Canis lupus familiaris: one gene and its partner. The protein of the gene in region 1 interacts with the protein of each later gene in a pairwise test. Links are inferred from orthologs where the notes say so. Each region holds a gene or a part of one and is shown in the gene's direction. Other genes may lie near its edges.

Region 1 (4,564 bases):
CTAGCTGTGGGGACAAGTGACCTCAGTTTAGATCCTGATCCCACTTCATGCTGTCTCTGTGACCCTAAACATGGACTTTCCCTCTCTGAACACCTATTTCCTTATCCCTAGAATGGGGATGAGAATACCTACCCTGCAGGGATTCCGTGAGGATGTGAAGCACCTAATACTGTACCTAGAACATCATAGACATCGAATACATGGAAATTATTTGTGTTACTATTGATACTGTGAAAAGTGTCACTTCGCCTTTTAAAATGGTTATATCTCACCTGAAAGGACTTAGTACAGCCAACAATTAACATGGTGACATATGTGAGTAGACCCTCCGGAGTTTTGGCGTCCCCAACCTATGCCACTGTACAAGGTGCTCCTGAGTAGACAGTCCCTAAAATTGGCATGATGACAATGCAGAAATAATGTGTTCTAATACCTGGAGCTACCACTTATTATATGGCTGCTATGTATCAAGCAAGGTATTAAGTACTTCCTAGGATTTCTCTGATTTAAATCCTACTAATTGCTAACATTTATTGAATGCATACTTGGTGTCAGGTGCAGTAGTCCACCTCAAAAACGTCATCTCCATTTATCTTTAAACCAAGCCCATGAGGCAGACAGTATTTTTTGCCCATTTCACAGATGAGGAGAGAGAGCCCGAGAGAGCTTGTGGAGCTCTCCCTAAACTCCGTAGATAAGAAGCAGAAGAACTCCAAATTTTAACCTAGACCTCAACATCCCCGATACTCTGATTCTTCTTCCCTCAGCACATGTTTTCCATGCTGAAAAGGAAGATCTTATAACCTGGCTTTCTAACCAAGAGCTTGAGGTTTAGAAAGTTTAAGTGTTTGGTCTAGCCAGAAGGGGAGGCAAGATTCAAACCCAAATGTACCCGATGTCTAGTACTCTACCTTTTCCACTGAGACACACCAGCGCCTGAGGCTGTGTGGAGTCAGAAACCTTTAATTATAGCAATATTATCATTATCTCCCAAACACCTGCCCGGCTTGCTCGCTCACTGCATTCTAGTTTTGCTTATGAGTCCCCTTCTTAGGTTTCTCCAGACCGTGGCTCTGGAAGGAACACTCCATTGAAAGCCAGAACTTTCATCTTACTCATCTTTGTGGCCCGGGTCTCTAGCACAGAGCCTGGAACGTAACAACTGCTCAGTATCTTTCTGCCGATCACCTGAATCCATGAATTATTCTTTCCCAGGGTACATGACTCATCTTTCTCACCCTTCCAGGTTATGTTGCAATGGGCGCCGTCCTCCCATCCTTCTGGGGCCAGCAGCCCCTCGTCCAACAGCAGATCGCCATGGGTGCTCAGCCACCAGTCGCTCAGGTGATGCCGGGGGCTCAGCCCATCGCATGGGGCCAGCCGGGTCTCTTCCCTGCCACTCAGCAGCCCTGGCCAACTGTAGCCGGGCAGTTTCCGCCAGCCGCCTTCATGCCCACACAAACTGTTATGCCTTTGCCAGCCGCCATGTTCCAAGGTCCCCTCACCCCCCTTGCAACCGTCCCAACCACGGGTGACTCCACCAGGTCAAGTCCACAGACCGAGAAGCCCAGACAGAAAATGGGGAAAGAAATGTTTAAGGATTTCCAGATGGCCCAGCCGCCACCCGTGCCCTCCCGCAAACCCGACCAACCCTCCCTCACCTGTACCTCAGAGGCCTTCTCCAGTTACTTCAACAAAGTCGGGGTGGCACAGGATACAGATGACTGTGACGACTTTGACATCTCCCAGTTGAATTTGACCCCTGTGACTTCTACCACACCATCAACCAACTCACGTGAGTGCCCTTCTTGGGAGACCTAACTCCAATGAGAGCGATGCCTTGTTTCTGGAGTCACAGAACTCATCTCAGTTCACATTCAGCAGGCATCTTGGTTTATATGACTACTACTAATAATAGCTACCAGTTATGAGGTGCCAATTATACATATCTACCTCGTAACCATTGTTTTCATACTTTTATACTCATAACAATGCTTATTACAGGTTTTGTTAGACCTGTCTGACCAATAATGAGAGTGAGGTTCAAGGACAACGAGAGTAGTTATTTTCCTACCAGTCACTCTGCTTCTAATGTTTTTGTTGATCTGCTCATCTATCCATCCATTCATTCATTATCCCTCCTTATGACACAGATTTTGGTACGGCTTGTTGAAATGGAAATGAATAGTGAATATGAATTTTAAAAGTCTGGGAAATAAGGACAAAAATTAGAGTAGAAAACTAAAATCAAGAGAAAACTTACGGGAAAGAAAGAGCAGCCATAAGATCTCATCCAGCTGGTTTAGTTGAAGCCAGATTTTGGCTCAGGGCTTTGGGTCGTCAAAGAGAAAAAAATGGTAGTGAAGCAGAAATCTCTAGACTGGGAACCTAGAGAGCAGATTTATCACTTCCTAGTTTTGTGCCTATCGGCAAGTCATTTTTGTGAGCCTCAATTTCCTCATCTATCTTAGCCTAAGAGAGATTACAAGGATCAGTGGTACATGTACTGAAACATTGTATACATCACAAATTTTAAGGTATTTTTGTCACCATTATGAATGCATATTGAATAGTTCTGTGTCAAATCCCTGGACCAGAGTTCCAACCTTTGCTCTTCTACCACAAGCTGTGTCTTTGGCCATGTGTGTGACTTTCTTAACCCCAGCTGTGTCATGGGTGAAATGCATTGAGTTGGCTTGGATGATGAGGAGTGTACTTCCTTCTAGTTCAGGCACTCAGTGATTCTTTCCAGATCACTTTTCTACTGTAAGCATCCAAAAAGCCATGACCATGCAGCCAATCAGAATCTAGATACACTTGAGCACACATATGCTCAGAAAAGTGACTGGTAATTCAGCCCATGCCTTTGACAATTGATAGGGAAAAGCAAAAGTCTCATGGAACAATGAGTTTGGCGTTTTCATTACTGTCACAGATGATAGGGATCACTGCTTGGCCAATAGTGAGAATTGTCAAAAAATCTAATGTTAACACAATTAGGTGGTGTTATTTCATCCAGGTTCAGAAGGCAGTTATGAAAATGAATGCCTTTTATGTGTATAAACAACCTACTTCTACTCAGGCCATGTGATCTCCATATGAGGGCATCTCTATTAGCTCCACGTCACAGGGTTTCAGTGAAAAATAATGAATAAAAAATGAAATGCTGGGGGAATGAGAGCCATGCATAAATAAGCAAGCATCTTTTGAAAGCAAGTGTCTCTCTTTCAATGGACTTGCATGCCAGCTATAAATAAAAGGGAAGTTTCAGTTCTTTGAGGACAGGACATATGTCCTAATCACCCGTCTACTTCTTCTAATGCTAGCATAGCATCTAGCGTGTGGGAGACATTTGGGAAAAATCGTAGAGATTGAAATGAACAGAACAAAGGCCATTCAGCTGTGGCTGTGTTTTACAACCTGGGCTTTATTGATATTTGGGGCCAGATAATTCTTTGTTGTGGGGTGTGTGTTGTGCTTATAGGATGATGAGCAGCATCCCTGCCTCCACCCACTAGATGCCAGAAATACATGTCCTGTCCCCTGAGTCTTTATAGTCAGAAATGACCCAAGAAAAAAAGAAAAAAAAAAAAGAAATGACCCAAGATACTGTGAAATGTCTCCTAGGATTTAAATTGCACCATTAAAGAACCACTCTTTTAGATTATTCAGGTATTCTAGAAGAGCCTTCTAAAGGCTAAGACACTTACATAAATGAACCTCTAATTATGCTTCCAAATGACTTCATCTGATAAGTAGGACCGGTACACCTCTCAGACTGGCACCTCAGCCTGTGTTCTCGGCCTCTAGTAAGCAATAAGCCACTTCAAACACAATTTGGAATCCAGTTACGCCAACATTTATTCATTAGCTGTTGGAAATCAGGGTGTTCTCACTTAAACCTGCTAGAACTAGTCTGTTCCATAATCATCTCATAAAACAGACTTCCTTTTAAATTAAAAAAAATAATGTTCTATTGTAAAGAAAATGAGTAAAAACAGTAATTATATCCTTCTATCCATGAGCATCACCTTCAGAATGTTTTGAGTGGAGTTTTTTCATCAGTTGGAACAAAAATCTACGTCAAATTGACATAGACCTCACAGCTGGCCCGACAGTGTAGACAGAGCTGTATTAAATCCCAACACTCCTATTCCGTGGTGCTGGTGACCCTGAGAAAGTCCCTTCACCTTTCAGGGCTGCAGTTTCTTCATCAGGAAAGAAAAATAGGTCCCACACCACTTTGCAGTATGTGTAAATACAAAATGCCTAGCACCCAGCACCGTGCCCAGCTTGCTGGCACACAGTAAATTGTGTTGTTATTCTAAATATAGATCCATCAAGGCGAAAGGTGCTCACCAAGTTTTATAATCACTCTCTGTCTGATAAGCAGCCAGATTTGGGAAATTCTGGGCAGTTATGGCAGGATGGGGGGCCTTATCAGTGGCACTGGAAATTTAGCTACTAAATTAAGCCACATCATCTCCTCACTTGGGGCCGAGCCAGTGACTGGCTTTTCAATGCCAAATTAGAAATTATTGAAAAAAGAATAGCTTCAAATGGC
Region 2 (4,564 bases), on another chromosome or scaffold:
GGACAAGGCAGGGCCATACTAAATAAGAACACATTTTATTTTTTTTAAAGCTATTTCTTTTGAGCTCTTAAGAATTGCGGTTACATCTTAATTGCATAAAACTTTATTCTAAAACTCTCTTGAATACTGTGTCAGCTCAGGGTTCGTCCAACTTCTTATTTCTGTAAGAGAGAAGAATTAGCTACAACACTGATGTTCCCTTCAGTCTAAAAAGGTTTCTGTGATTCTGTTCCTTATCACAGGGTAATAAAGAAAATTGATTGTTAAAAAGTCCTTTAAAGAACAGGATTCATTTTGCCCAGGACTTTGTGGGTTTTGGAGACAAACACTATTATTGCACAAAATCTTAGGCTTCAAGAATTGAATGAAACCCTATTGAATGATGGAAGTTAAAAATATACCACCCATAAGGTGGCAGATTGTTGTGCTACGTTATGCTTTAAAAAAAATGGGAAAAGCAAATTGCCAAAGTAGCTTTCAGGTAAATAATTTAGTTCTACTCAGGAACAAATACATTTCCCGTTACACAAATCTTCGTGTCCCATTTAGTTCTACTCAGGAACAAATACATTTCCCGTTACACAAATCTTCGTGTCCCAGGTAGGAACCATCCTCCTATATCCATGAAAGCATTTCTGGCAGAAATTCGATCTTGTGACTTTTTTTTCGGTGCCACCACGTGTATTTCCTTGCAAAAGCATGTAGCATGTGTTTCGAAGTTTTCTGTTTCAGGCTTCACATTTGGGGTGGTTTCTCCCTAGTAAGGTAAATTTTTTGTTAAGTATTTCACGAGGGTGTGATAAGCTGGTGCGATATTGATAGTTTCTTTAGGAAAACGCACAAGTGAATATGCCAAACGCTTTACCTTATGTGTTCAAAAGAAATTGTGTCATCATCGTCTTTTCACATATCCCCTGAGATTTATTCACAGTTTATATTGACTGCGAAACTCTGTTGCCCACTGGGAGTTCTGCTTTATTTATTCCAGATAATAGGACACTTGCAACCCATTAACAGTTGTAAACAGATCTTTCAAGTTCATCTGACATAGCAATTATAAAATGTGTTTCTCAGATAAGTTTCCAGGATTAAATCAGGACAAAAATGGAGATTAGATGACCACAAGCAATGACTGCATTGAATAAGCGATCTGTTATTCAAAAAGAAATTATAAGCATTATAGACACCGGGTTTCAAAATCCCAGCAGCTAATTGAACGAGTAAATCACCTATTATAGTTTAGAAACACATTGACTTGATGAATACTTATTTAAGAAACATTCTTAGCCTGAGTGAGATTAAATAAACAGAATTAAATGAAAGAAGGGAGGGAGGGACGGAAGGAAGAATGGATGATGGATGGATGGATGGAGGGTAGATATATAATGTGGGATATCAAATACAAGCCAAGACTTGTATATTAAACTTCTGCTTTTTATTTTTTTTTTCCAGCCAATGTTTTCAGTTGCACCAAGCTTAGCCACCAATGCATCAGCAGCCTTTAATCCCTACCTGGGACCTGTGTCCCCAAGCCTGGTTCCAGCAGAGATCTTGCCGACCGCACCAATGTTGGTCACAGGGAATCCCGGGGTCCCTGTACCTGCAGCTGCTGCAGCTGCCGCACAGAAGTTAATGCGGACAGACAGACTTGAGGTAGGAATGATGAGCTGGTTTCTCTATGGACTCCATTCTGAGTTTCAAAGTGTGCTGTTGGTTCATTTCTTCCACGGCCATAAAGGCCAAAAAGAAATTTGAAGTATAGATTTGGGTTGACTATTTGGAGCCTTTTGCTCCAAAAGGAGGAGGTATGGAGGTATGCTGTATTTGACAAATGGAACGTTGATAAAAGCCACAGCAGCCGGATAGTGTAGCAGGGATTAGGGACCCAGACCTTGGGGCCCAGCTGCCCCTTAACTTGGTTTTATCTTTGATTCCTCATCCTCAAAATGGACATAATAATGGCCCTTTCCTCAAAGCGTTAGACCGACATCTGGCACACAGCAAATGCTCCCTGGATGTGCGTTGTTCGTGTTGCTTCTTTTGAGAACAAATTCTTTTCCTCCCCTGACACTTGTTCTCACAACAGTTTGCTCAGTTACAGTGCATCAGGCATTTTAAAATTTATTATTGCAAATTTCCTCACAGGCCTCACAATATTTAGGTTGGAATAGCAAGGCAGCTCCGCTGGTGAAGTGTGCTCCGATGAAAGTTTTTCAGTTGGAAACTGCATCGGGCTCTAGAGTCAAGGATGATCAGATGGATGTGCTTTGCTATTGCAGCATGAAAAAGAAGCGAAAGATCTCATTCTGGTATCAAAGTGGTTGCTCCGAATTTCAGCGTGGCTGTGAATTAATGGATTCGGTAAACTGTAGATTGAAGAAAAACACGGCAACGTTACTGTCCGTGGAAGCTCTAAAACCAGGCATTCGTGTCCAACTGAGGAGCAAAATGACTCTTTGTTCTTTCCCCTCGGTTAGGATGAGGCAACAGTTAGGGCTGAGAAGTTTGGGATGTTGGTAACGACTGAGAAAAAGGCAAAATAAGGCTGTTGTGTGATGAACATAATTGACACTAATGATTTATCAGTTGCGCAGGAATTTACTGAGCAAGCACCGCTTTCTTCTTTATAGGGCTTCACTACATGCATTGCAGAGGATCCCAGAGTTCAGCGCAACTAGAACTGCCACCACCTTTTCTGATGGCAGTAACAGTCGTTGGTGTTTATTGGGTATTGACTTTCTAGCAAACTCGGCCTCAACCCATCTCATGCAGCACATAGTCAGTCTTCAAGACAATCTTCTGAGGAAGACACTGTCATTCACTCCATCTCCCAGGACAATAGATTTAGGGGCAGAGTTGTGGCAAAACTTACTTGAGGTCGTAGGAAGGATGTTCCAGTCTGGTATGAACTTAGGACTCCGTTTTGAAACCCTATATAACTCATTCCCACACAGGTGACAGTTCAGAGAGGAAGCAAGAATTTCTGGCTTCTGGTAAATTCTTTAGGGTTTCTGTTTGTTTGCTTGTTTAGCTTGAGCTCTTACCTTCCTGAACATTTTGGGAAAAGCTGCTAATGAAGAGAGCACCATGCGGAGAACTCAGAAAGGACTTTGAGACCTAGTTGCACGCTCCCCGTGGACCAAGGACTGCTGTGTGCTAGAGATGCACTTCGACTTGTGGGTGGTTTGTCATCGTGCGGTTGCACTTGCTCATTAGCAAGCTAGTGCTGTTTGCAGATAAATTATGAGGAAGTTTAGGAGATTGTAAATATTTAAAAATTGCTGGATGCTTCATATGTGACTCACCTTCCCCCTGCCCCGATCTTTTGGAAGCACACCCTGGGTTCATAATGCATGATTGTTGACTGAAGGGGACCCAACAGGCAACCTGAGATGAACTTTGATGAATTAGTTATTAAACAGGAGACGATATTTAGGAAGCTTACAACTCTCTATTGAAATCTCTTACGAGGCTGAGCTGTGTGGTCAGAACTCTTAGAAACGAAGCTTCCCACAGTTTGAGGTAGTCTGTAATTGGTTATATTTTGTATAATGGTTAATTAAAATTAGAGTACTTTTGTCATTGGTTTGGGGTTTCTGTCTTTTTTCTTTTCTTTCTTTTCTCTTTCTCTCTCTCTCTCTCTCTCTCTCTCTCTCTCTTCTGCGAGGAGCTCCTCTGTGTATTTTGTCCGTCGTCTTCTGCTGTGCTCACAAGTGGCTACTGCTGTATGACTGTCATTTCCTCTTAACCCGAATTCCTCTTATCTAACTGCTTGCTGGTGGGAGGGCAGCTTCCTATCTCATTCTGGCTAACAGGATCTGCTCTAGTGTCACAGTGAGAATCTGCTAGCATATTGCAGTGGGAAGCTCAGGGGCCCGTCTTTCTGCTCGGCCCTGAGATCTGAGACACTCCTATCTTCAGGTTCTTTCCTCTGGTGCTGATCGCACAGCATACTGGGACTTAAATGGTGTGGCAAGAAGTGCACACGCTTATTTGCCAGTTGGTCACATGTCGAGTTATTTGGGTTTAAATCTCTACTTTGTCCTCATGGGACTCAGAAGTACATGTTTGAATTCTGAGTTCCTTTTAAGGTGAAAAAAGTTTAAATTTGTTTAAATATTGGCCAACTGTTCTTGCCGCCTCTTTCTCTCTTTTTGCTGCACATTGTTAGGCCATAAGGAAATTAAAAATCCCATAGATTATCAGCCTTCTGGTTCTTCTGTTCGGAAGAACTGATGACTTATTTATAGCACCTGATGTGAGGCTACCAAAAATGTTGAACAACAGGAACCCAAGAATTAGTGTTAGTGTTTTTGCTAATTAGGCGAGTAGCCTTGGGTCAAGTTTCTCATCTCTTCTGAGCTTCATTTTCCACATATATGAAATTAGAGGATTGAACGAGATAATCTGTAAGATTGCCTCCAATTAGAACATTCTATGGAACATTTAGGTTGTCTCTTTGCTTTTTATGCCAGCTTATAAGTTATTGGAAATTTTATTTATAACATTTTAAATAAGTATATTTAAATATATTGTATTAATTGTAATATATAAATATACATTT

Evidence for each region.
Region 2: the proteins of DAB1 (region 1) and MBNL1 interact in binary tests that used the Homo sapiens proteins (3 or more experiments, as listed by UniProt). The link is inferred for Canis lupus familiaris from reciprocal best matches to the Homo sapiens genes DAB1 and MBNL1.

What each region holds. Positions count from the first base shown.
Region 1 is NC_049226.1:52,847,666-52,852,229, forward strand, and holds part of DAB1 (disabled homolog 1), read left to right. Parts: intron 1-1,246; coding exon 1,247-1,795; intron 1,796-4,564. UniProt on the Homo sapiens protein: Signaling adapter of the reelin-mediated signaling pathway, which regulates the migration and differentiation of postmitotic neurons during brain development.
Region 2 is NC_049244.1:47,458,262-47,462,825, forward strand, and holds part of MBNL1 (muscleblind-like protein 1), read left to right. Parts: intron 1-1,452; coding exon 1,453-1,653; intron 1,654-4,564. UniProt on the Homo sapiens protein: Mediates pre-mRNA alternative splicing regulation. Acts either as activator or repressor of splicing on specific pre-mRNA targets. Inhibits cardiac troponin-T (TNNT2) pre-mRNA exon inclusion but induces insulin receptor (IR) pre-mRNA exon inclusion in muscle.